Lonchura striata: one gene and its partners. The protein of the gene in region 2 purifies or fractionates together with the protein of the main gene of each other region. This does not show direct contact. Links are inferred from orthologs where the notes say so. Each region holds a gene or a part of one and is shown on either strand. Other genes may lie near its edges.

Region 1 (7,727 bases), about 4.3 Mb from region 2:
ACAGCTCATGTTCAGAAAAATTAGCAAGTCTGCTCTCTGCCTCTGGCAGCATCTTGAATTATCCTTACAGAGGCAAAAAGGCATGGGGGAAACTTCTGTTTCTCACACTGAGATATGTAAAGCTTGTTTAAATCAATTATTTAAACTAACACACACCTGCCTTCCTGGACATTGCTCAAAACTTCAGAGCTGCCCAGTTTGGTTTATTTCTACATAACTATATTGCTAAATCAAATTTAAAAAAAGACAGATACTGTTATTTGAAGCTAAAACAATAATAAGTAAGAACAAGCCCTTTAGCCCACAGAAATATAGAGCAGTGAAAAACCCAAGTTAACTATAACCATTGTCTGCTCATAAAGCTTCTGACCTGTACTTCAGTATGTTCAGTGTGGCTCTTGTAAATACTAAGAAATGACATTTTGCCCTGAGTGCTACTGGGCTGATTTCTTTCCTCTCACTTGTTCAGTCAGTAGTGCTTCTCAATGAGAAGAAAACAGCTAATTACAGGTTCTCCTTGAAGCACGCACAGTACTTACCTGCAGAAAAAAAGCAAGAACCTCAGCTTTCTGAACCATCTAAAAATACATCAAGTCTACAAATTTGTTATGGGTGTAATTTCCTTTCCAAACCCCTCATTTCTTCAACAGACAACAAAATAGGACATAAGAGCTGACTGGAAAGGGCAGGGAGCCATGCTGGCAGAACTCTACTGCCAGAGTGTAAGAGTAGAGGGAACAGAGGAGAATGGGCACTTGTAGCTGTGTTCATACCCCATGACCAGAAAACCTGGGAGCAACCAAGCTCACACCAAGAGCTCCTAAATCCACCTAACATGGCCTAGAACCAGAGCAGGGCATCAGCTGATGACAGCAGTCCTCTCATCCCCATTCTGCTACTGAGCAAACTACTAACTACAGTAAAAGCAGTAATTTTTGACTGTTACTAATTCCTAACAAGAATAACTTATTGTTTTTCCTGCTACTAACTTATTAGCTTCAGGTTTTCACTTCAGTAGCAAAGGTATTTCCTATCTACTCTGCTAAACACTTTACAAGCTGTAAAGTTAAGCCTACAAGGTTTTGAGACAATACCTGTCCTCTGGGAGATGCCTCACATCCAATCCTCACCTGTAAGTCAGAGCTTACATTAGAGCTGTCAAAATAATCTTGGAAGCTGTGGCCCACTTATAATCAACTTTTTTTTACTATCTCCTTTCCATGACTGCTACAACTTGATCTTTTTCCCACTACCTCTTCCCTGTTTGCCTTTCTCAGAGGCAAACACCTAACCTTACTTCCTGTTGTCACATTTTAGCACATTCAACTACAAAAACCAAACCTACTTCTTGTGTTGGGACATTTGAAACCTGCCAGCAACAGATTCAAATTACCAACAGTTCTCAAACCATGGGCCTCAGTTTGCCAATTATGTTGAAAGGTGATTTCCAGCTATGAGCTACAGTTGAATGGCTGGGTGCTAGAAAACAACATCTGTAAAATTTTTAGACCATCACAGAAGAAATTCCCTACTAAACTGGTTGTAGGTGCCTGCCTGATACAAAACTTGTTGCAGTTTCAAACTAGACAACCTTTCCCAGCAACATGGGCAAACCAAGCCAGCTTTGCTGGAGCTATCAAACATCATGAGGGTCCTTGGAGTCCCTTCCAGAGGGGCACTTAATCCTTTGATGAATCCTCTTCCAAAGATGAGAGGGCTCCAGACCACTCGAGGTCACATTGTCCAGGAAAACAAGGCAGTTGCTGTGTTGTCAGAACGTTGTGAGGAAACATCTCGTGCTGCAGGGCCTTTCCAACAACTTGGGTGCACTCAAGGAGGAACCTGCCAGGAATAACCTGATTTTGCTTAAAAATAGAGAGGGTGGAGGCAATGCCGCTACATAGGGCCAAAACCAGACAAAATCAGTTAGGCTGGAAAAGACCTCTGAGATCATCAAGTCCAACCTACGACCCCACACCACCATGCCAACTAGTGGTGTCAACTAGCTGAGTGCTATGTCCAGTTGTTCTCTGAATAGCTCCAGGGATGGTGACTCCACCACCTCCCTGGGCAGCCCATTTCAATATATAATCAACCCTTCTAGGAAGAAATTCTTGCCAACATCCAACCTAGCACAGCTTAAGGCTGTGTCCACTTGTCCTGTTGCTAGCTATCAGAGAGTCTGATCCCCACCTGGCTGCAACATCCTGTCACAGAGTTGTAGAAAGTGACAAAGTCTCCCCCGAGTCACTTCTCCTCCTTAGGCTACCCTAGGAGATCCCCTCCCAACTAGTCCTGGTGCTCCAGCCCTTCCCCAGCTCTGCAGCCCTTTTCTGGACCTGCTCTAACAGCTCCACGTCCTTCCTGAACTGAACGGCCCAGAACTGGACACAGGACTGGAGGTGCGGCCTCACCAGAGCCCAGCACAGAGGGACAATCACTTCCCTACTCCTGCCGGCCACACTATTTCTGACAGAGGCACAAAAGAGGGAAAACCCCCGAGCCACAATCCCCGGCGGGCAGCAGCCGTCCCAGCGCCAGGAGGGGCTGCCGGCTGCTCCCTCCTCCCGCCGCTATTCCACACTCCCCAGGCTTCCCGACGGCATGGCGGCGCCCGGCCTTCCCCCGGTGACATATCGCGACATATCGCGCTCACCACACGAAGTCGTTGCTCTTGTCCTCGTAGGAGTTAATGAGCCCGTTGCAGAGCGGGGTGAGCAGCGGCCTCTTCCTGCCGCCGGCCCCCGGCGCCGCGGAGGAGCCGCCGGGCCGCGCCGGCCCCGCCGCCAGCCGCGCCAGCCCCGCGCCCGACCCCGACACGGCGGCCGCCACCAGCACGGGCCGCGCCGCCGCGCCGCCCGAGGAGGACGAGCCGGGGGCCATGGCCGCCGAGGAGGAGGAGGAGGAGGACGAGGAGGATGAGGAGGAGGAGGAAGAGGAGGCCGGTGTGGCGGCGGGCGGCACGGCGGGGTGCGGCGGGCGGCTGCCCGACATGCCGAGGCCGGGCCGGGCCGGGCGGAGCGGCCTCAGCGCATCCCCGTGCGCGCGGGGGGAAGGGGAAATAAAGTTCCTTCAGAGGAAGAAAACGGGGAGGAGGAATAAAAGAATTAAAAAAAAGAAAAATGAAAAAAAAAAAAAAATCCCGCAATTAAAAAAAAAAAATCAAAAACCCAAAACGGCGGCCCCGGCGCGGCGCTTGTTCAAGCTTTATTGACAGGCGGACAGCGCGGCCGCGCGTGCGCGGGGCGGGGCCGCGCCCCTGAGGGGCGGGGCGGGGCGGGGCCGGCCGCGCTCCCCTCACGGAGCGGCGGAGCCGTGGCCGATGGGCTTTGGGCTTTGGGCTTGGGCTTGGGCTTGGGCTTGGGCTTGGGCTTGGGCTTGGGCTTGGGCTTGGGCTTGGGCTTGGGCTTGGGCTTGGGCTTGGGTTTGGGCTTGGGCTTTGGGCTTTGGGCTTGGGCTTGGGCTTGGGCTTGGGCTTGGGCTTGGGCTTGGGTTTGGGTTTGGGCTTGGGTTTGGGCTTGGGCTTTGGGCTTGGGCTTGGGCTTGGGCTTGGGCTTTCCTACTTCAGCCGCGGGCTCGGAGTGTGGGTCAGGAGCTTCCAGCTGCGCCTCAAGTTGCTCCCCCTGACAGCACATCTAGTGGTGCACAATCCTGAGGTACAAGTCTGTTGAGGAGCGGCTGGGGGAGCTCAGCTTGGAGGAAAGGAGGTTGAGGGGGAACCTTCTCGCTCCCTGTGACCGCCTGACAAGAGGTTGTGGCCAGGTGCGGGTGGGAATCTACTCCTAGGCAAGCAGCGATAGGTTGGAAATAGTCCAAGCTGTGCCGAGGGAGGTTCAGGCTGGACATAGTGAGGAATTCTTTCACACTAAAGGGTGATTATTCATTGGAATGGGATGCCCAGGGAGACGGTGGAGTCAGTGCCCTTGGAGGTGTTTAAGACTGCACATGGTGCCATGGTCTGGTTGACAAGCTGGTGCTGGCTCATAGCTTGGGCTCGATGACCTCACGGGTCTTTTCCAGCCTAATTGAGTCTGTGATTCTGTGATCTCCCTGCACTGAGGGGAAGGCACCCTGGCCTCAGAGGGAAATGTGCCAGGCTGTCACTCAGAGACCCTCCCTGGGCCCCCAGCACCACAAAGAGATCCTGTGAAGGGCAGGGCTGCTCTGTCTCTCACAGGATGTTCTTCACCTTAGTTAGGTACCCCAAAGGGCAGCTCTAAGTATGCTGAGCTTTATCCCATGCCATCCAGCCCCACACAAAGAAATGGATCCATGGACCAAGGCCAATTGTGTGAGGTTCAACAGGTGCCTAGTCTGCACTTGGGTGACAAGAATCCTAGGCAGTGTAACAGACTGGAGGAGGAGTGGCCAAGTGGAGGAGAACCTGAGGGTGCTGGTCAGCAGCAACCTCACCTCAACTGCTATGTCCAGTTCTGGGCCTCTCACTTCAAGAAAGACTTTGAGGGTCTGGAGTGGCTCCAGAGAAGGACAACAGTGGCAACAGAGAAGGGGCTGGAGAGCAAGTCCTCTGAGTAGCAGCTCTGGGGGCTCATGCTGAAGAAGAGGAGGCTCAGAGGGGACTTTATTAAACTCCCTGATAGGAAGGTGTAGCCAGGTAGGGGTCAAGCTCTGCTGTCAGGTAACAAGTGACAGGAGAAGAGGAAAATGGCCTCAACCTGGTCAGAGGAGGTTCAGGTTGAACATCAGGAAGAATTTCTCAATGAAAGAGGTTGTTAAGCATTAGAACAGGGAGGTAGTGAAGTCCCCATCTCTGGAGCTGTTCATGAAAAGATTGGATATGGCACTCAGTGCTCTAGTCTGGGTGACAAGGTGGTGATCAGTCACAGATTGGACTAGATGATCTTGGAGGTATTTTCCAACCTAAATGTTTCTGTGATTCTGTGACAGATGTCTGGTGGTGAGTGAACAGCTTTTCCCAGGTTTGAGGCAGCTTTCTTCTGCCCGGGTGGGTGGGAATCCCAATGGTGAGGACCATAGCCTGTTGGGTTCCTGTTTCCCAACAGCAGGCCTGAGTTTTATACAGCAAGGGCAGACCAGTTTCTGCACAAGTTAATTAGAAAAGTGTTGATAAAGGATGCCCCAAAGATGTTTTGGGTGTTATGAGAAATGTTGTCCCCAGATCCAGCCTTTTACATGCCAAACTGAAAAGTTCATGAAACACAGCACTTGTCAACTCCTTGGCTCAGCCAGAAGTCCTGTGGGGAGATAGCTGCTGTTCCCTTTAATTTCTCTTTCAACAGCCTTTGGAAACATATTGCCTCCTTTGCATTGAGCAACTGTATTGTCCACAGTCAGCTTTACTTGTCTGGAGTGGAGGAGGCAGCTGGTGAAACACTAGGGCATTCCCTGAGGAGGGTAATCCTAAACCCAGGTATGGGAAAACGCCCAAAAAGATCAGCTGCAGCACTCCTCCCAGCAGGGACAGCAGAGTGAGCCGTAAAACCAGTATGGGAGCTGGTAAAACTGGTCTGAGAGAGAGAAAAAGGTGCTTCAGGTAGGCAGTATTGGTCAGGAGACCTCCCAGGCTGTCAGGGATGCTGGATGACAAATGTCCCAAAGGCAGAAGGGCAAAACACAGCTCTGGATTTACCCTGCAGGTGCAGCTGGAGGGGTAGAGCTGCGGAGTGCTCCTCCTGACCTCCCCTCTCAGAGGTGCTGGAATACTACTGGGTATTTGACTCTGTATGTTTACCCCTGATGTTAGGAAAAATCACCAAGGCAGTCAGCAAAACCCAGAATGTCTCTGAGGAATTCAATTCAAGCCCGGAAATTCAAAGTTAGAGTCCCTGAGAGATCCAGGTCAGCAGTCTCACCTTTACAAGGCGACATCTGCTATTAGAGTCACTCCCATGATTTAACTCTTTGTTGCTGTTATTAAAAACGTTTTTTAATATAGCTCTGGGGACTCTTTTTGGTATTTTCTTTTGGGTTTGTGGTTTTTTTAAAGCCATTGGGTTCCCCTGCTTTCTGTAAATAGCTTTCCGACTCACAGATCTCAAGACTAGCTCCATAAAGTCATTGAAGTGTAGTGTTTCCCCTTGTTTTCAGTGGAAGCAAAAGAGAATTGCTGTTATTTAGACCTTTCTTTCAGCCTGGCTGTTAGTGTCTGTGTGTGCATCTTATTTTCTATTGCTAAGAGAAAGGGAAGTCTCATTTCCTTCTCTTCCAGAAGGATCAAAAACTTTATAGATGAGTGCCTACAATGGACTTTCAGAAGTAGTAAGCAGTAGTATTGGCAATAGCACAATCCCATGCTTCACACTGAAATACTGACTGACCCTTGAAAAGTCTTGCTGATGCCATTACTGACTGCTCCAGAGAGAAAAAGATGACACAGGCAAAAGCTGTTAGAGAACAAATGTGTGAGCACTTATGCCGATACATAACTGGCCTTCACAACATCACCTACACCCACAGCCCTGGCAATGAGTGTGACTACCAGCACTTCAATACCTACGGAAGATCTCCCTGGTTCCTGAGCTTCAGGACACCATTATGAGCTCTTGGAGACCCTCTGAGTGAATATCTTCTTTTCACTGCCCAGGTGCATTGGGAGCAGCCTCTGGCTCTGGAGACACTTCTTTCCTGGGGTTACCTTGCATTACCAGTTCCACAGTCCATGTATGCAGCCAAAGGGAAGGTTAGGTGCTGCTTACTGGAGATACCTTTGTGTTATATCAGGAAAAAGGACATGGAAAAAAGTCTTCCAGCTCCAGTGCACTGCAGCTGGAACAGTGATTTGTCAATTATCTTCTAGTTCCTGTTAGCACAAGATGAGCTCTAAGAATTGGTTTGATTTAGTCCAGGTATCAACAACACTGTGATTACTATCAGTGGCGAGGGTACAAGAGTGAAAGAGGATAGATCAGCTGAGAGGTTTCTGTGCCTCCTCCAGCCAGCAGTGTGCCTTTGCACTGCCTGCAGGCCAGAACCCTGCACTGGAGCACAACTCATGATGGGCTCAGGACAGAGGGGAAAGTCTTGGTGTGGGGACACCTGCGCCCTCATGTAGCACACTCCTCATAGGTCCTGCTTCAGAGGATTGCCTCTATTTCCCAACTTAGTCTTAGTGGAGATATGTCTGCCTGCTTTCAGAGTTGTGTGGATCAAGTACAGAAAGCAAACATCACGTATTCCCGACTGGCCTGAAACTTAGGCTGCAAACAAATCTGTTTCTTTGGGATAAGTTGTCTCCAGCTGTACTCCTTAGTGGGTATTTTACGCAAAGAAACTGGTATTTCTGACAGATGTACATTTTGTAAGACTGACTGGAGGAATCTGCTCTAACTTATCTGTGTTTTTAGCCTCTGAAGCCAGTTGCTGACAACATCCCAGCAAAGTAGCAGTTCTCATCTTGTGCAAAGAGAGAAGACACCCTACCCATGGCATTAAAGGAAGGAGAATCCAAGTACTATCTATAGATGAATGAACTTTAGTAGCAGTGTAAGGTTCTGCTCTTTTGGGTACATAAACCCTACTTAACACTCGAGTCTGTGCCATTTGCAGCTGCAGCTCCATTTACTTGTGCAACAAGCAGCTGCAGCCATGGAGTCCAGCCACGGAATCATTAAGGATACTCTGCATAAGTCATCTTGCAGGGAGACTGAGACTTCTTCCACACGAAGTGATCCATGGGCTGCGTGTCTCAGGGAAGTGACAGTCACCTCCCAGGCGCCAGGCTCCGGATTGTTGATGACTCATTAGGA
Region 2 (6,846 bases):
TTTTACTGTTGACAGCAGCATTGTCATAAATATTAACAGACAAGAATCACCTCCTACCTGAGAAAATACAGGGATAAAGGTGAATATTTTTATTTTTGAAGCCTACAGCATAGTTCTCTTAATACAGCCACCTGCCTTATCTTCTTGAGGGCATTAATTTAATAAAAAACATGTCAGATCAAGTAGCCAGTTGCTCCAGTTATGGAACAATTTTGTTCCCTGCCTTTCCATCCCTCCACAACCCTGCCTGAAGTCAGATGTCTAAACTGGGCCCCAAGAACGAGGCAGGCAGGCAGGCTGCAGCTGGGGAATCCAACTTCAGGACAGCCCCAGAGGTTGTAGGAGTTTAATGAGGACGGTCTGGCTTCTCCCTCCCCTCCTCACACCTTCTCCAGGACATGTCTGGAGTTACAGAGTAAATTCAGCATAATCCCTACCCTTCAGACTGCAGCCCAAAGGGCATTTTCCCAACTAAGGTACTAGCCAAAAATAAAAAAAAAAAGTGTGAGGGGAAAATACATTTTAATTATTTTATTTTTCTTAAATATAATAGAACCTTCTAGAATTTTTTTCCAGAAACAGAAACATTAAAAAATTATACTTTATTACAAATGGTAAACTCAGAGTGCTAAAAAAAAGCCTCTTATTTACAAACAATACTGGGCAGTGCCCAAATAAACAACATAAAAATAACTTACAAAGTCATGAAGTAGTTTATTGACATTAATCAACTTTCATAAAATAAAATAAAAAAAGATATGTACATACACAATTTACTTGAAGGCAGGCAGAACAGTTCTTTTTTTTTTTTTTGTTTATCAGCCTCCCACAAACCTCCCTCCCACTTTTTTTTTTTTTTCTTAAGGAATACTACATAAAGCAATCTACAGTTTCTATTGCAGTTTAACCTTTAATACTGAATGATCATCGAATGTTAGGTCCATGCAGGTCTTGGTCAATGTTAAACGAAGATCTGACATCTCATCCGAGCAGGAGCAGCACTTCCCGGAGCAGCGCTGCCCGCTGCGCTCCCGGCTCCAGCCCAAGGCTTTGCCAGTCTTTCCACACATGCGCTTTGCGGAGCACAGGCAGGACAGCCCCTCAGCTCTTTGCCATTAGCTTTATGCCTCTGCCACTTTGGATTTTTCCTCTTTTAGTTGTACCACAACACACAGTTCTCGCCGAAGAGTCTCTTCAAAACGTCTGCAACTGCTGTGTGAGCATGAGCTGGCACCCGCTGTTGACGTGGTTCATGACCTTCTGCTTAAGCTGTGCAACCTGTTCTCTGAGCATGTTGGCAGTGGATGCCAGCTCTGAGTTCTGGGCTTTCAAAGTTTTCACTTTTTCTTCCAACCGGGCAATCCTTTCCAACTTCCTTTTCCGGCATTTGGACGCCGCGATTCTGTTCCTCATGCGCTTTCTCTCGGCTTTGATTCTCTCCTGTGACTCCATGTCAATGGGGGACAGGGGAGGAGTTTCCCCCGGCATTTCAGGTACAGTCTGCGGCTCCTCTTTCAGAGCCTGGAGCCGGGGATGCTGCACGGGCATCTGCGGGTTTATGTGATGCTGGGGCGCGTATCCCATGCTGTTGGCGTTGTAGCTGGGCGCGGAGCTGAGCGCGTTGGGGTTGAAGTTGCTGAGGTTGGCGTACACCGGGGGCTCGCTGTGCAAACTGGTGTTGAAGCTGGTGCTGCCGGCCATGGAGGACACAGGTGCCATCCCGCTGCTGACGGGCTGGGCGGCCGAGGTGACGCTGGGCAGCGTGTTCTGGTTGTGCAGCTCCGCCAAAGCTCTCACGAAACCCTCGGCGAACCCCTCCTGCTCGTCGGTGACATTCTTGGGGCACAGGAACTGCGTCGGGGTCGGCGTGGTGGTGATCAGCCCGTTGCTGGACTGGATGATGAGCCGCTCCAGCTCGGGCGAGGCCAGTTTGAGGAGCCCCACGTCGGGCGAGGTGAGGATGTCGGCGTTCTTGTTCCTCAGGTGCGGCTTCAGGTTGCTGGAGGGGTCGGACAGGTTCAGCGTCATGTTCTGCTTCAGCACCTTGGCGTTATTGTATCCGTACCCGCCGCTCTCCGGCGGCGCGAAGCCGGCGCTCAGCGCATCCTCGTAGAAAGTAGGCTCCATCTTTGCACTCATAGAACACAGTCCGGGGAAGGGAAGCTGCCCGGCCGCCGCTCAGCTCCCCGCGGGCACCCCGACCCTCCCGGGGAAGGGGAACGCGGAGCCGAGGAAGGAGAAACGCGGAGCCTTACTGGATCGCCGCTGCCGCTGCCGCGCTGAGAGCCCGCCCGGCCTGGCGGGGCGCCTCGCCTCCCTCCTCCTCCTCTCGCCGGTGGTGCCGGGACGCCGCTCCGCCGCCACAAGTACTTTCCCTGCCCGGCTCCGCGCTATTCCCGCTCCACCGTCCCGGCGGCCGCGCTCGCTCGTTCACTCGCTCGTTCACTCGCTCGCTCCCGCCACCCCGCGCTCTGCGCCCGCTCCCGCCGTGCAGCCCTTCACTTATCAGCGGCCGCGGGCCCGCTAAAAATAGCGCATGATGTCACCCCGCGCGCTCCCCATTGGCTGCTGCCGCCCCGTCCCCGAGGGGGGGGCGGGGCCAGGGCCCGGCGCGCGGTCGCCATGGCCACCCCCCGCCCCCCCCCCACTTCAGAAGCTTCTTGAGCGCGCGGGGCCTTGTGGGATGACGTAATGGCGGGGGGGGCGCGCGCGCGGGGCAGTGTGGGCTGACGTCTTTTTGTTTTTGAACGATCCGGTTACCGCGGGCCGGCCGCCGCCGGTGCGCCGAGCCCCGTCCGTCCGTCCGTCCGTCCGTTTGTCTGTCTGTTTGTTTATCTGCCTGTTTGTTTGTTTGTTTGCGCTGCCTGCGCCGCGTTCCGGCGCTTCCCTCCCCCCGCCGCCGGTCCGGCCCTTCAGGTGGCGGCGCTCCCGGGGAGCCCCACGTGGTTTCCCCGTCCCGCCGCCCCCGCCGCTTCCAGGCAGCGCCGCGGGCGGCACCGGCGGCTCCCCCGCGCCGCCCGCCCGGCCCGGCCCGCCCGGCCCCCGGGGCCCTGCCCGCCCGGGCCCCGGGGCTCTGCCCGCCCGGGCCCCGGGGCTCCCCCGCGCCGCCCGCCCGGCCCCCGGGGCTCTGCCCCCGCGCCGCCCGGGGAGTCCCCGCTGGCCCGCCCGGCCCCGCGGGGTTTCGCTGGGGGTTCGCCTTCGCCCCCGCACCTCCGCCCGCACCCGCCCCCGGGCACGGCTCTGCCTCCACAGAGAGCCGATTCCCGGCCTCGGGAATAGCCGGGAGAACACGGAGGGGAAGTAAAACCCGACAGGAAAAAGCCGGGTTACGGATGGGTTTCTCTGAACTCGTCCTCCAAGGGGAAGGGACAGCGACGGCCTAATTTTAGACAGTGTCCCAGTATTGCTGTGGAATTGCAGGTTGGGCGGGAGGGAGAATAAGGGCTGGAGCCGGAGGATCGCGGCGGAGGAGAAAAGTCCCCGCTGGCAGCAACAGATGGGAGCTGTGCCTCGCTGCGCTGCTCCGTGCGGGCAGAGCGCTGATCACAGGGATGCGCTTGCCTTCCCTTGCCCCGCACACCCCCTTCTCTCGGCGTGCTGGGGATTTGGGATTGCTGCCACCGCTGGAGTAAAGTGCAGCAGGTATTTGAGGACAGGCAGTGACAGGACGGGGTGGCACAGGGACTGCAGGGCTGTCCTGGTGGGTTTGATTGCCAGCAGTGCAACAAGTGCTCCTCGTGCTTCCAACTCGAAGCTGTTGGCTTGCTGCTGTTCAGCTTTTTGTCAGTGCAGAACTTGATCTGTCAGCTTGAACCCCTTCACACGACATGTGAAGCTAACAAACTTAGGTTCATTTTGAAAACACCCTTTCAAATTCCCCAGTTCTATTTTTTTCCTGGATGTAATGACATAATTACCAGTTACCGTATAGAAAGGAGCAGCGAAGCAAACAGAAACATCAGCATCTATGAAAGAAAAGTGAAGGTCCAGCTCCCCTCTTGGAAGTTGTTGGGGATTTTTCCTTCTGCGTTGTTCCCACCTGACTTTGGCCACATGGCAAGCACTGGTGTTAACGGGAATGATGGAAATAATGCATGCAGTGTGTTAACAGTCTGTAGCACAAAATAAAAAAAAAACGTTTTGGACTGGATGAGGGGGCTCACTGTGTGCTGCTGGTGTCTGTACAGCCTTCACAGAGTTAGCATCTCTCTGGGCTGCAGGTAACTCAAACTTCAGCTGGGTAAACTGTTCAGCCAAACAGCACTAAGTTACTGCGCATGCATAAGAAAATCTCAGGATTTCATTAATGCAGTGAGCACTCAAATTAATTCCTTTTAATGTTTACATACAAGATAAATAGAGACCTGTGGCTGACTCTTCTGGCCTCAGAGCCAAGGGACATCAAATGAAACTGGCAGGTTCGGAACAAACCAAAGAACTGCGGTTCAGCGCTGGAACTCCCTGGCAAGGGTGGACGGAGGGATTTTAACGTGATGGATGAATTCACGGAAGAGAAATCACTTTAGGTCTGTGAATCACGGAGCATCTACACTGGCTCTGGAAATCCTAGGGCTGCAAATGACTTGTGCCCGGGGGGCATCCCTGGCTTGGGGTGGCTCCCTAGGGACCCACTCCTGGCCCCTGTCAGAGATGGGGATCTCGTGTGGCCGTCCTTGAAGTGTTACAGCCCCCGGGGATAGCCCATAAATGATTTCAGTGTCACCCCGCAGTTTTCATGTTTATAAAGGGCAAGGAAGAAAATCTGAAGAAATGTAAGACTTGAATTCGAGGTCGTTTGTTGTATGGAGTTTTTTATTTTGAAATAAATGATTTTAAATATTTCCAAATGAAGCTAAAAATGGGGGTATCTGGTGCATAGGAAGCCACACAATTAATTTGCTGTATAGACAAATACTATTAAAATTTATTCTGATTACCTTTATGTATTAGTTGGTTGTGTTGTTTTGTTTTATCTTTTGGAGTTTTCTGCTGCATGTTTCTTCTGTCCTAGAAAGCAAAATTCAAACTATGAGGAACATGGTCAGCATAGCTTAAACCACTCTATTTATTACAGATTTGTATAACCTGTAAAACTGCCTTTGGAGCTCACTGATCTGCAAGGTTTTGATTAACTTCAGTAAGGGCTGGATCAGGCGGGAGGGATTAATTTAATTTAATTTTTTTTTTCCCCTCCACCCATTTCAGCTCTGTACTTCCTTCCTCTTGCAGAGGCGGGGTTGGGGAGCAGACATTCCAGTTTGGGAGCTGGGGCCCTGTGGCTCTGGGGACACCCATTCCCGTCACTGCTGCTCACTGCAGGTTGTTCCCTGCCACAGAGAGCCAAGGTGCTTGTGAAGGTTCTGCGGAGCAGCAGAGCACTGAAATCAAAGACAGGAGCTCCTGGCTGCTCCCAGGGGATTTCCTGCCTAGCTGGGGACCTTTGGGAGGGTTTGGCTGAGATTTCAGTCCCAAAATCGGCGCTGACACACTCAGAGTGGAGCAGATCCAAAAGCAGGACCCATGGATAGTGATCCTTCATGGCCATTAGCCAAGGAGCTGGTGGCTATGCTCTGATTTATTAAACACCTATTAATTCCAGGCTTTTATTCCCCCTTTCCTGACATCCTTAAGAAAATATTCCTTTAGTAGGATGAGGGAATGCTTCCTGACCCAGGTACAAACCAGAGCCATTTACATGGCTCAATAAACTAACTTGTGGCTAGGAATTGCCAATCCCTGCCCTGTATTTCTGAGAGGCCGATGCGTTGAGCAACAGTAATGCACATTTTGATTTATAAGCTTCTCTAATCAATCAATAGAAGCTTGAGTGAGGCAATCAGATAATCTGAATAATTAAATGGCTTTTCAGGGACAAATTAAAATTTGTTGCACACACCACATCCATCTAAATTATATTTGGTGTCCAGGAATAAATGGGTTTGCTGGTTTGTTTCACTCCTGCATCTCAAATGATTTTGACTTACTTCAAAATTATTTGGGAAAAAAAAAAAAAAGGAAAGAAAAAAGGATAAATGTCAGTTTCTGATTTTTTTTTACATTGGAAAGAGTGGTCACAGAAAAAAAAAATACTTTTTCCCATATAGTTTTATTACATGTATATTAAATATTTCAATATATATTTTTCTTTAGACATGTCAGAATATTTTGCTTTTTCTTCTCCTCAGAGAAGTTTCCATAACACCTTTATTGTATAGAAAATTATTATGTAGATTTTTTGTCTTCTTTTTTTAAAAAAACAGGACTTCACACTTTCTAAATGTGATATCCTTCTTCACATCTTAAAGTGAGTAAAACTGGGAAATCCTGGATTTTTGCACACTTGCTTAAGGAGTTACTATAGACCAGTTTTCTCCAACTGGGGGAGACAAGAGTTTGAAGAGTCAGAAAGCAAAAGTATTTTTCTCTTATTTACTCCATCAAGGCACAGTAAAAGAAGGTGGGAGTGAGAGGGTACAAGGAATAGAGTTTCCTTAGGCCAAGTGGAAGTAAAATAATCATTCCCGGGTTCTGCTGGTCCCAGTCCCTCGCCGGTTCCTCGGGGCGTGTTTGCGTCCTCGGTTCAAGTGGGTCCAAGTCTGCAGCACAGCACAGGCGTGGCACAGCTGCCACCTCATCCACCCCCAGCTTCCGTGGCCTCTCCTCCTGCTCTTTGCTCCCAGCAGGACTCCTGTGGCCAGGTGGAGATCCAGGAACTGTGGCTGAAATAAAAACAAATCAATACACCTGGGGACACAGGGGAAAGGTGGGAATGGATAAGGCTGGGGGAAGAGTGGGACTCGCAGCTTGATGTGGAGGACTCTGGAATCAAAACTCTAAAAAAGCCCA
Region 3 (7,381 bases), on a different chromosome or scaffold from region 2:
TACATGTAACCTCCCACCCCCAGATCAGAGTGAGTGGGGGGCCACAATGCTGAACAGAAGAAGGAGGTATGAAGAACTGTTCCTCAGGAGGTGGAATTCTAAACCTACTTCATGAGTGGGAACATTCTGGCTCAGTCCTGCACATCTAGCTGGCAGGAGGAACATCAGAGTCATTGACAGGACAGAGGGCTATAAGAAGCTTTCTAAAAACAGGAATGCAAAGAGCCCTGCTGCCCTCCTTCCTCTTCTCCATCAGGGAAACTCAGAGCTTCCTACATGATGCATATAGAGCAGCCCAGAGCAGACAGTGTCTCCTTGGCAGAAATGCCATTTTGCAGCCCCTTGTCCAACTGAGTCTCACCATTAGGCCTCCACACCTGCCTGTCTAATGCTTTGACTTCTTGCCCCTTTTGTGAGAAGGGGGAGGGATACTGGTTCTCCAGTCCTCAGCTTTAGAAATAATCTCCCCTTGCCATCAGCAAAGCAGTCAGCTCACAGCCCTTCCTCCCTGAGCATTTTCCTCCATACCTTCACAGGGCAGCAAAAAACTCTAGTTTAGCTGCTCCCACCACTGCAATGCAGTGACTGACTTCCAAGCAACCTGTGACAGCAGGGTTTTGTACAGAACCTACCATAACAAGGCTCCCCTACTCTGATAGTTAATTGCAATAACTGCAAATAAATGCCACTAATTATCAAAGTATTATTAAGATTGCAATTAATTATTTGAGGTTGTACCACCCACTGGACAGCAGTATAGAGCAGGAAGGTAAAAGCTATCCTATTCGTACCTGAAGGAGCTCAAAGGGGCTTGAGAAGGAAAGAATATGGTCTGAGAAAAACCTCAGTGTCTGAACTGCAGTCCAATAACTGACTTGTTGAAGTTACCCAGGACCTTCCATAACCACATGTGGTCAGGGCTAGAATCTTCTTCAAGAAGACAATCCTGCTCCAGCACAAAGTTCTGCCCTCAGGGGTCAAGGATGGCTTCAGAGATGACAGCCCCCACACCCCCTACAAACTCCTCAAAATGATGTCTTAAATACCAGAGTCATCCACAAAGACCTCTAATCCATATAAAGACTAACTCTGGCTAGTTTGCAACAGCACTGCTCAGCTCAGAGGCCTGTATGTGCCTTCAGCTCTCCGGCTGCATGTTAAAATAGCCTGCAATGTTTGGATTGATACTCTGGACAGTCCAAGCAACTGAGAAATGCAGCCAAAGACAGATGGCATCAGGTTTGCAGTGCCCCCTCCTTGCTGCACTGGCACTGCAGGACACACACACGCTGGCAAGGGGTTCCATGCCTCACCATGGCTCTGCCTGCCTTGCTTTGGGGCCAGGCCCACTACGAACAGCCACTGCAGTGAAAAGAGCCTCTTACAGCTTCACATTCAAGTCATTGCATGCTGCCAAGTACCTGGCCCAGGCAATGCAGCTGAAGTAGCTAACACTAGCACAGGGAAGGAGACCACAGAACAGATGCTCAGTGCTCATGAGCAGTTGGACACATTGCTCAGATGGACAGGGCAGGAGGAGGCAAGAGGTCCGAGGGAGTATTTACTCTTCCTTGGCAAGGAATGTAGCACAGAGACCTTTGCATCCTGTAAGGAGGGAAATACTCAACTGTGAGGATGCAGGGAAAGCATCCATAGGAGTCTCAATGAGGAAGCAGAGGCAATAACCTACACACTAATTCAGCAGATTTTGTTAATTCCCCAGACACCAGGAGCAACCAGCTGCTGGATGACATAGTAATGGTGTGGATGGCAGCTCCTGCACCCATGCACTCATCCCCTAGATGGGTAGGTTTCGCATTTTTAAATCACTAGGACTCAGTAAGAATCCAAACTGCGAAGACTGGCATTCACAGATGCCCTCACACAAGCTTTTAGCAACAAATTCCCAGGGCAGACTCTGTCAAGAGCCTCCAGACATAGATTTTTATGCAAGTTGTCCCAAAACTAGCTAAAAAATCCTGGTCTGAGCTACAGAAGCATTTGCTTCTGCTGAGCTCTTGGAGTCCAAGCACACACACATGCACACACACTCACAGTTTGGCAGTGGTTGTGTTCCAGGGCTGGTAATGCAAGCCATGGAGCAGGCTGCCAAGACAAGCAAGAGAACGAGCCAGGCCCTGTTTCATTGGCCACCATACGCTGCATATGGCCCTGGAACCAGCCAGCACAGTGTTCTCACCCTCCTTGAAGGCATAGGAGACCCTGTGTTTTCAAATACACCTCCACAGGGCCTTCATTAAAGGAAAATGGAAACATAATGTGGCTCTTGCTCCCCTGGTATTTCTCCCTTTCCCCCAATTTGCTCTCAAACCTATTTCCCTTCCATGGAAAAAAGAAAAGTGCCTCCTGGAGCAGAGCGTGCAAAAGAATGCAACTTCCATTCAACTCCATGCCTGACTGCTAAAGCGGACTTGGGACCGCGCGGCGGGGGCACCTCCAGGGCCCCTTTCCTTCCCCGGGCCTCCCGGGCTGGAGACACGGCTGGCGACAACCAGCGCGCCGGCCCGGCCCGGAGCCGCGGGGAGCCCGCGCCCCTCACCTGCGCGCCCCGCCGGCAGGTGAAGCGAGGCGGCGGCGGCCGAAAAGCGGGGGGAGGCGGCCCCCGCCGCCCCGCAGCTCCTCAGTGCAGCAGCAGCCCCGAGCCAGGCACCCCCAGCCCCCGCGCGTCGCCGGGTGCGGGGGCAGCAGCCGGCTCCGAGCCGCCCGTGCGGCCGTGCCCGCCCCGCGGAGGGTCTCCCGGCATCGCCGCGGCGCGCCCGACCGCCCGGACAGCAGCGCCCTGCCCGCTGCCGCGGGAGACGGGATGCTCCTCCGGGCGCCCCCCACTCCAGCCCCCGTCGCCGCTGTCCGCCACCCCCGCGCCGCCGCCCGCCCCTGCCGCAGTCCCGGCCCGCTCGGCACGTCCCCCGCCCGCGCCCATACCCACCGTGCAGGGCGACCGGGCTGCCGGGGTGCCCGCGGGGCCCGGCCGCAGGGGCCGGGCGCGGGCTGCAGGCTCAGCCCCGCCGCCTCCGCCGCTGCCCCGACCCCCGGGCCCCGCCGGGTGCCGATGTCGGTGCCGGCCGCCGCCGGGGCGCCTCGGCCCGCCACCGCCCGCCGCCCCGGTGCGCGCCTCCCGCAGGCTGTGGCAGGCGGCGGGGTGGGTTGCATCAGCCCCGGTTATATAGCGGCCCCTGGGCTGCGGGGAGGGGTCGGGAATGCGGAACCGGCCGGGCTGCCAGCGCCACACGTCAGGGAGGGCGGGGGAGCGGGGCCGCGGGGCGGGGAGCGCCGCGCAGGGGTGGGACCAGCCGGGGCACCCCGACATCCCGCACCTCGGCATCCCGCACCCCATAGCCAGGCATCCCACACCTCACGGCCCGGCGCCTCCGCATCCTGCACCCCGGGACTCTGCACCCGCCACCCCTCGGCAACCCTCTGCCCTCGCAGCCGGCATCCCCGGCACGCTCCGGCACCGCTTGACCCCTCCGCACCACGGCGCCCCGGCGCCTCGCACCCCGACCGGGTGCGTGTCTTCCCCACGCTCCTGTATGCGCCCCTCCGCACACTCTCTGCTTCCCTTCACGTCGCTCTCGTCCCCCGGCACTCGCCCGGACACCGTCCCCGGCGGCCGCGGTGACACGGCCCGGTGCCGCCGCAGCCCCAGCTAGCCCAATTTGTGTAGAGCCTCCGCTCCTCAGCCCTGAGCCTGGGAAGAAGGAGGCAAAGGACCAGAGAGAGCATCCAGTGCTCCCCAGCATCAAGCACACCTTACCCAAGGCAGCAAAGGCGCAGGCACAGGGAAGGCTGCAGGGTCACTCTACAGTCCGGTGGGAGGCAAGAACCTTCTCATCTCCATCCCTCCTCCAGCCTGGCCTGCTCATGCCCCACGCAACACGGTCTAGTCTGCCTCATACAGGGCCAAGGGCTGTCAGCCCCAGCTCCACCACTCCCTTGACTGGCCTGGAGAGTAACCAGGAGGAAGCAGAGGGGTTCAAAGCACCTCTTTCCAGCTGTTTTGTTTCTTTATCATCAATGGGACATCAGGGAGGGATGTTGCCTGAAGCACAGGTACACTCGTGGTGCCCAGTGTTCTAGCACTTTGATGTCAGATGGGGATCATGGAGCAGGTGACAGACTGGGGCCTTCCTGATAACTTATTTGTGTTTTTCTTTCCTCTTTCTCTCTAACATTGGCCTCTTCCCAGCTGCATTAGCCAAACTCTTCCAGGGAAGCAAAGCTTTGCACAACTGGAGGATCATGCTGGATCTGCCATAGGTACTGGATGCTCCAGGGCTGTTGCTCCTAAGGCATTTCAGGACAGAAAGGCTCCTTTTACTTCAGAAAGACAACATTTTAAGAGTAGTTAGCAAAACCACCAGGCTGAGCAGCACTACCCAGCTAAGTGACAGTGTCACCTCTCTGACCCCCCTAGCACCACAGAGAGGCACCATCCACTCTACCTTGTTTTCCTTCCCCTGACTTGTCAGTCATTGCTTCTTTTCAGCATTGACCAATTTAATTTATTTTCACAACTGAGGATTCACATTATTCATCATCTACAAGGTTTTGCCATCAGTACTTCCAGCCTTGTCCTCTTCATCTGTGCCTCAGCAAGAGAATTCAGTTGGAAAGATCTGGGACTAAGCAAGAACATGGGATCAGAAATGCTGTGTTCTATGTAGGATATAATCTGCCCAAGCTGTCCTACAGAAATAGGTAACATATTGGCTTGGCAGGATGCTGCACATTACTAATCTTCTCATGCTGCTGTTCTTTTGTTTGTTTCACTTTCAGAGAGGCAGAATATTTTTTGTACACTTTTGCATACAACCCCAATATTTCCTTAATCTTGGCACCTCATCTTCAGGAGAAAGGAGAAATATCAGCCACAATATATTTTTTCCATATGCATTCCTTCCTGCATCAGATAGGACAGACTTTTCTATTGCCTTAAGCTGCAGGTATCCCAGTGGGGTTGACAAACAACATCTCTCTAGCAAATCAGACGAGTTGCCTTCAGGGCACGGCAGGTTCCTCACAACTACTGCATCCTGAGGGAAGGAAAGAGGACAAACCAGAGGGATTTCAGAAGAGGCTGATGTCCTGACTGAGCAAGGTCCAGTCCAGCACATAATTCCTCCTGCCACTTTTCTCTACCCTAGGGAAGGTGGGAAAGTGCCGTTTCCCCTTCTTTGCAGGGGGTTGGAAGAAAAAGAGCTCTCCCTGCTCTGTCTTCCACCATTTTTGCCTTTTTCATTTCCCTTTCACTGGTGGGCAGAGCTGGGAGATCTCATTGCAACACAGACATCTATTGCCCCAGCCTTGAGTTTTGGCCCTTTCTCTCTCAGACAGCCTCTACAGGATGGAAGCAGGGATGCAACATCTACCAGTCTGTAAAAGACCAGCACTTGCAGCACGTTTGCAGTGCACTGATTTCAAGGCTGTGCTGAAGAAGGCTGGGAAATGGGAAGGAGACCCCATCAGCCTGCTTCCCTTCCCTGCTTCCCCACTGCATGTTCTAGAGGCAGCTGAGCCTCCATTATTATAATAACACAACTTAGTCCTAACTGGGACTTACTTAACTATTGAAGAGCACATTCCAGGGGAGCAATCCTTGCCTGGGACAGTGCTTACGCACATATTTAAAGGGACAAACTTGCATCATTCTTCCTTGACTTGGGAACTCTTGTCTCACAGGGGAATTTTCCTTGCTCTTGCAGCAGCCTGTGCTTGAACTGTTCTTTTCCCAAGCTGGGTTTTGCCTCATGTAAACACCAAATATGTTTACTTTTCAGATAGTTTCATTTTGGCTAGAAAAGACGTAACAATTAATTGAGAATTCGTGGCTTCAGTGGGTAAAAGTGAACAAAAAAGTCACCTACAACAGGCTGTTTGCTGAATGATGCAGATAAACACGTCTGGCCCTACCAGGGCTGGTCAGTCTTGCCACTGCGGTGGAAACATGTGCTGACAAAGACAAATTAATCAAATGTGAATGGCAGCATTTGCAAGGGAGACAGGAGCTGTTGAGAAAAAAAGCAAAAGTTCCACTGCACAGAACATAAAAAGCTGTCAGTACCTTGCTGCTTGGCAGATGGCTTTCTCTTCAGATGAAAGGGATGATTTTCATATTTTTGTCCAAAATGAAGTGTGTGGAAGGTGAAGGCTCATGGATGTGGAAACACAGCCCCTGCAACACAACATGGGGCCAGAAAGTTATCAGGAACAGAGAGAGCTCTAGAGCAAAACAGAGCTGCACCAGCACAGAAGTTTGACTGCAGAGGAGTTGCTCTCAGTCATCAGGAAAAGTCTTTGCTTTTTACCTGCCAGCATGCATTCCTCTGCCTTCTCTACACAGATGAACTGTGCTGCTCATTGGCTGGGTTTGGGCTTAGGCCAGGACACCCAAAACAGCTCCACAACCACCCTTGTTCTTTCAGCCCTCTTCTGGATTGTCTGATGGCCCTCTCACAGCAGGAGTGTCTTCTGAAGGTGGGCAGGGGAAGCAGTCAGTACTGGTCCCTCTTGGCAGGTTTCTCTCTGAAACCTGTTACAGCCCTGTCTGAACACAACAACAACAAGAGCCACAGCATGGGCAAGGTTCCTGAGTGTCCTTGATATTTAATGTGCCCTGTCCAAATGCACTGAGCATATTCAAGATCCCAGCAATGGTAGTCCTTTTCTTGCCCTCTGCACCCTCCTGATGCCACTGTCAGTAGTGATGAGCTCACAGTTACCTCCCTGATATATTCTTGGCCAAGAAAGCAAATGATACACTAGACCTTTAACATCTCTGTTGCATGACCAAGCACAGCTCTATGTGCTTGAAATTAATCAATATTCTAAGTCTAATCAGGATGTTAGCTATTCCAGTTCACCTTTCTGCAGTCTCTCAGGGCTGACTAGCCCAACAACATGCATGTGGGACATACCTGGCAGATACAAAGCCATATTGATGTCCTACATGTAAAATTCTCTCTGGCATTACCTCTCAGTGCAAGCTGACAGGATTAATGATTGCCTCCCATCCACTGCGGCTGAGAGAGCTGTGCTGTGGCTCTGCCTAACTGGGACTCCTCAGACCTGCTGCTTGCTTGTACAATTGCTATCCAACATTTGCTATATGAAACAGTGCATTTCATCTGTTACCCATCCACTTTTGCCACCCAAATCCTCACGAATCTGCTTCCCTTTTCCCTGATCTTTGTCTTCAGTATTAGTATGCAATCCTGATGGCTAATTCTGAAAACCATTCACTGAAGGATGTGACCTAGGACTTGCACATTCAAACTCTGTAAGCCACAGTACAATACCTATCTGCAGCAAGAAAGAGTTTCGCCCTGCAGGAGAGAATGATGGTGATACAAGACAAGACATA

Evidence for each region. The genes of interacting proteins can lie anywhere in the genome.
Region 1: the proteins of JUN (region 2) and COP1 purify together in Homo sapiens (affinity purification with western blotting; 9 studies listed by BioGRID and IntAct, counting the BioPlex papers as one, with this or other methods). This does not show direct contact. The link is inferred for Lonchura striata from reciprocal best matches to the Homo sapiens genes JUN and COP1.
Region 3: the proteins of JUN (region 2) and JDP2 purify together in Homo sapiens (co-immunoprecipitation; 3 studies listed by BioGRID and IntAct, with this or other methods). This does not show direct contact. The link is inferred for Lonchura striata from reciprocal best matches to the Homo sapiens genes JUN and JDP2.

What each region holds. Positions count from the first base shown.
Region 1 is NC_134611.1:3,320,947-3,328,673, reverse strand, and holds the start of COP1 (E3 ubiquitin-protein ligase COP1), read right to left. Parts: upstream 3,001-7,727; 5' UTR 2,995-3,000; coding exon 2,657-2,994; intron 1-2,656. UniProt on the Homo sapiens protein: E3 ubiquitin-protein ligase that mediates ubiquitination and subsequent proteasomal degradation of target proteins.
Region 2 is NC_134611.1:7,572,645-7,579,490, reverse strand, and holds JUN (transcription factor Jun), read right to left. Parts: upstream 2,482-6,846; 5' UTR 2,140-2,481; coding exon 1,195-2,139; 3' UTR 517-1,194; downstream 1-516. UniProt on the Homo sapiens protein: Transcription factor that recognizes and binds to the AP-1 consensus motif 5'-TGA[GC]TCA-3'.
Region 3 is NC_134608.1:23,066,683-23,074,063, forward strand, and holds the start of JDP2 (jun dimerization protein 2), read right to left. Parts: upstream 3,001-7,381; 5' UTR 2,948-3,000; intron 1-2,947. UniProt on the Homo sapiens protein: Component of the AP-1 transcription factor that represses transactivation mediated by the Jun family of proteins.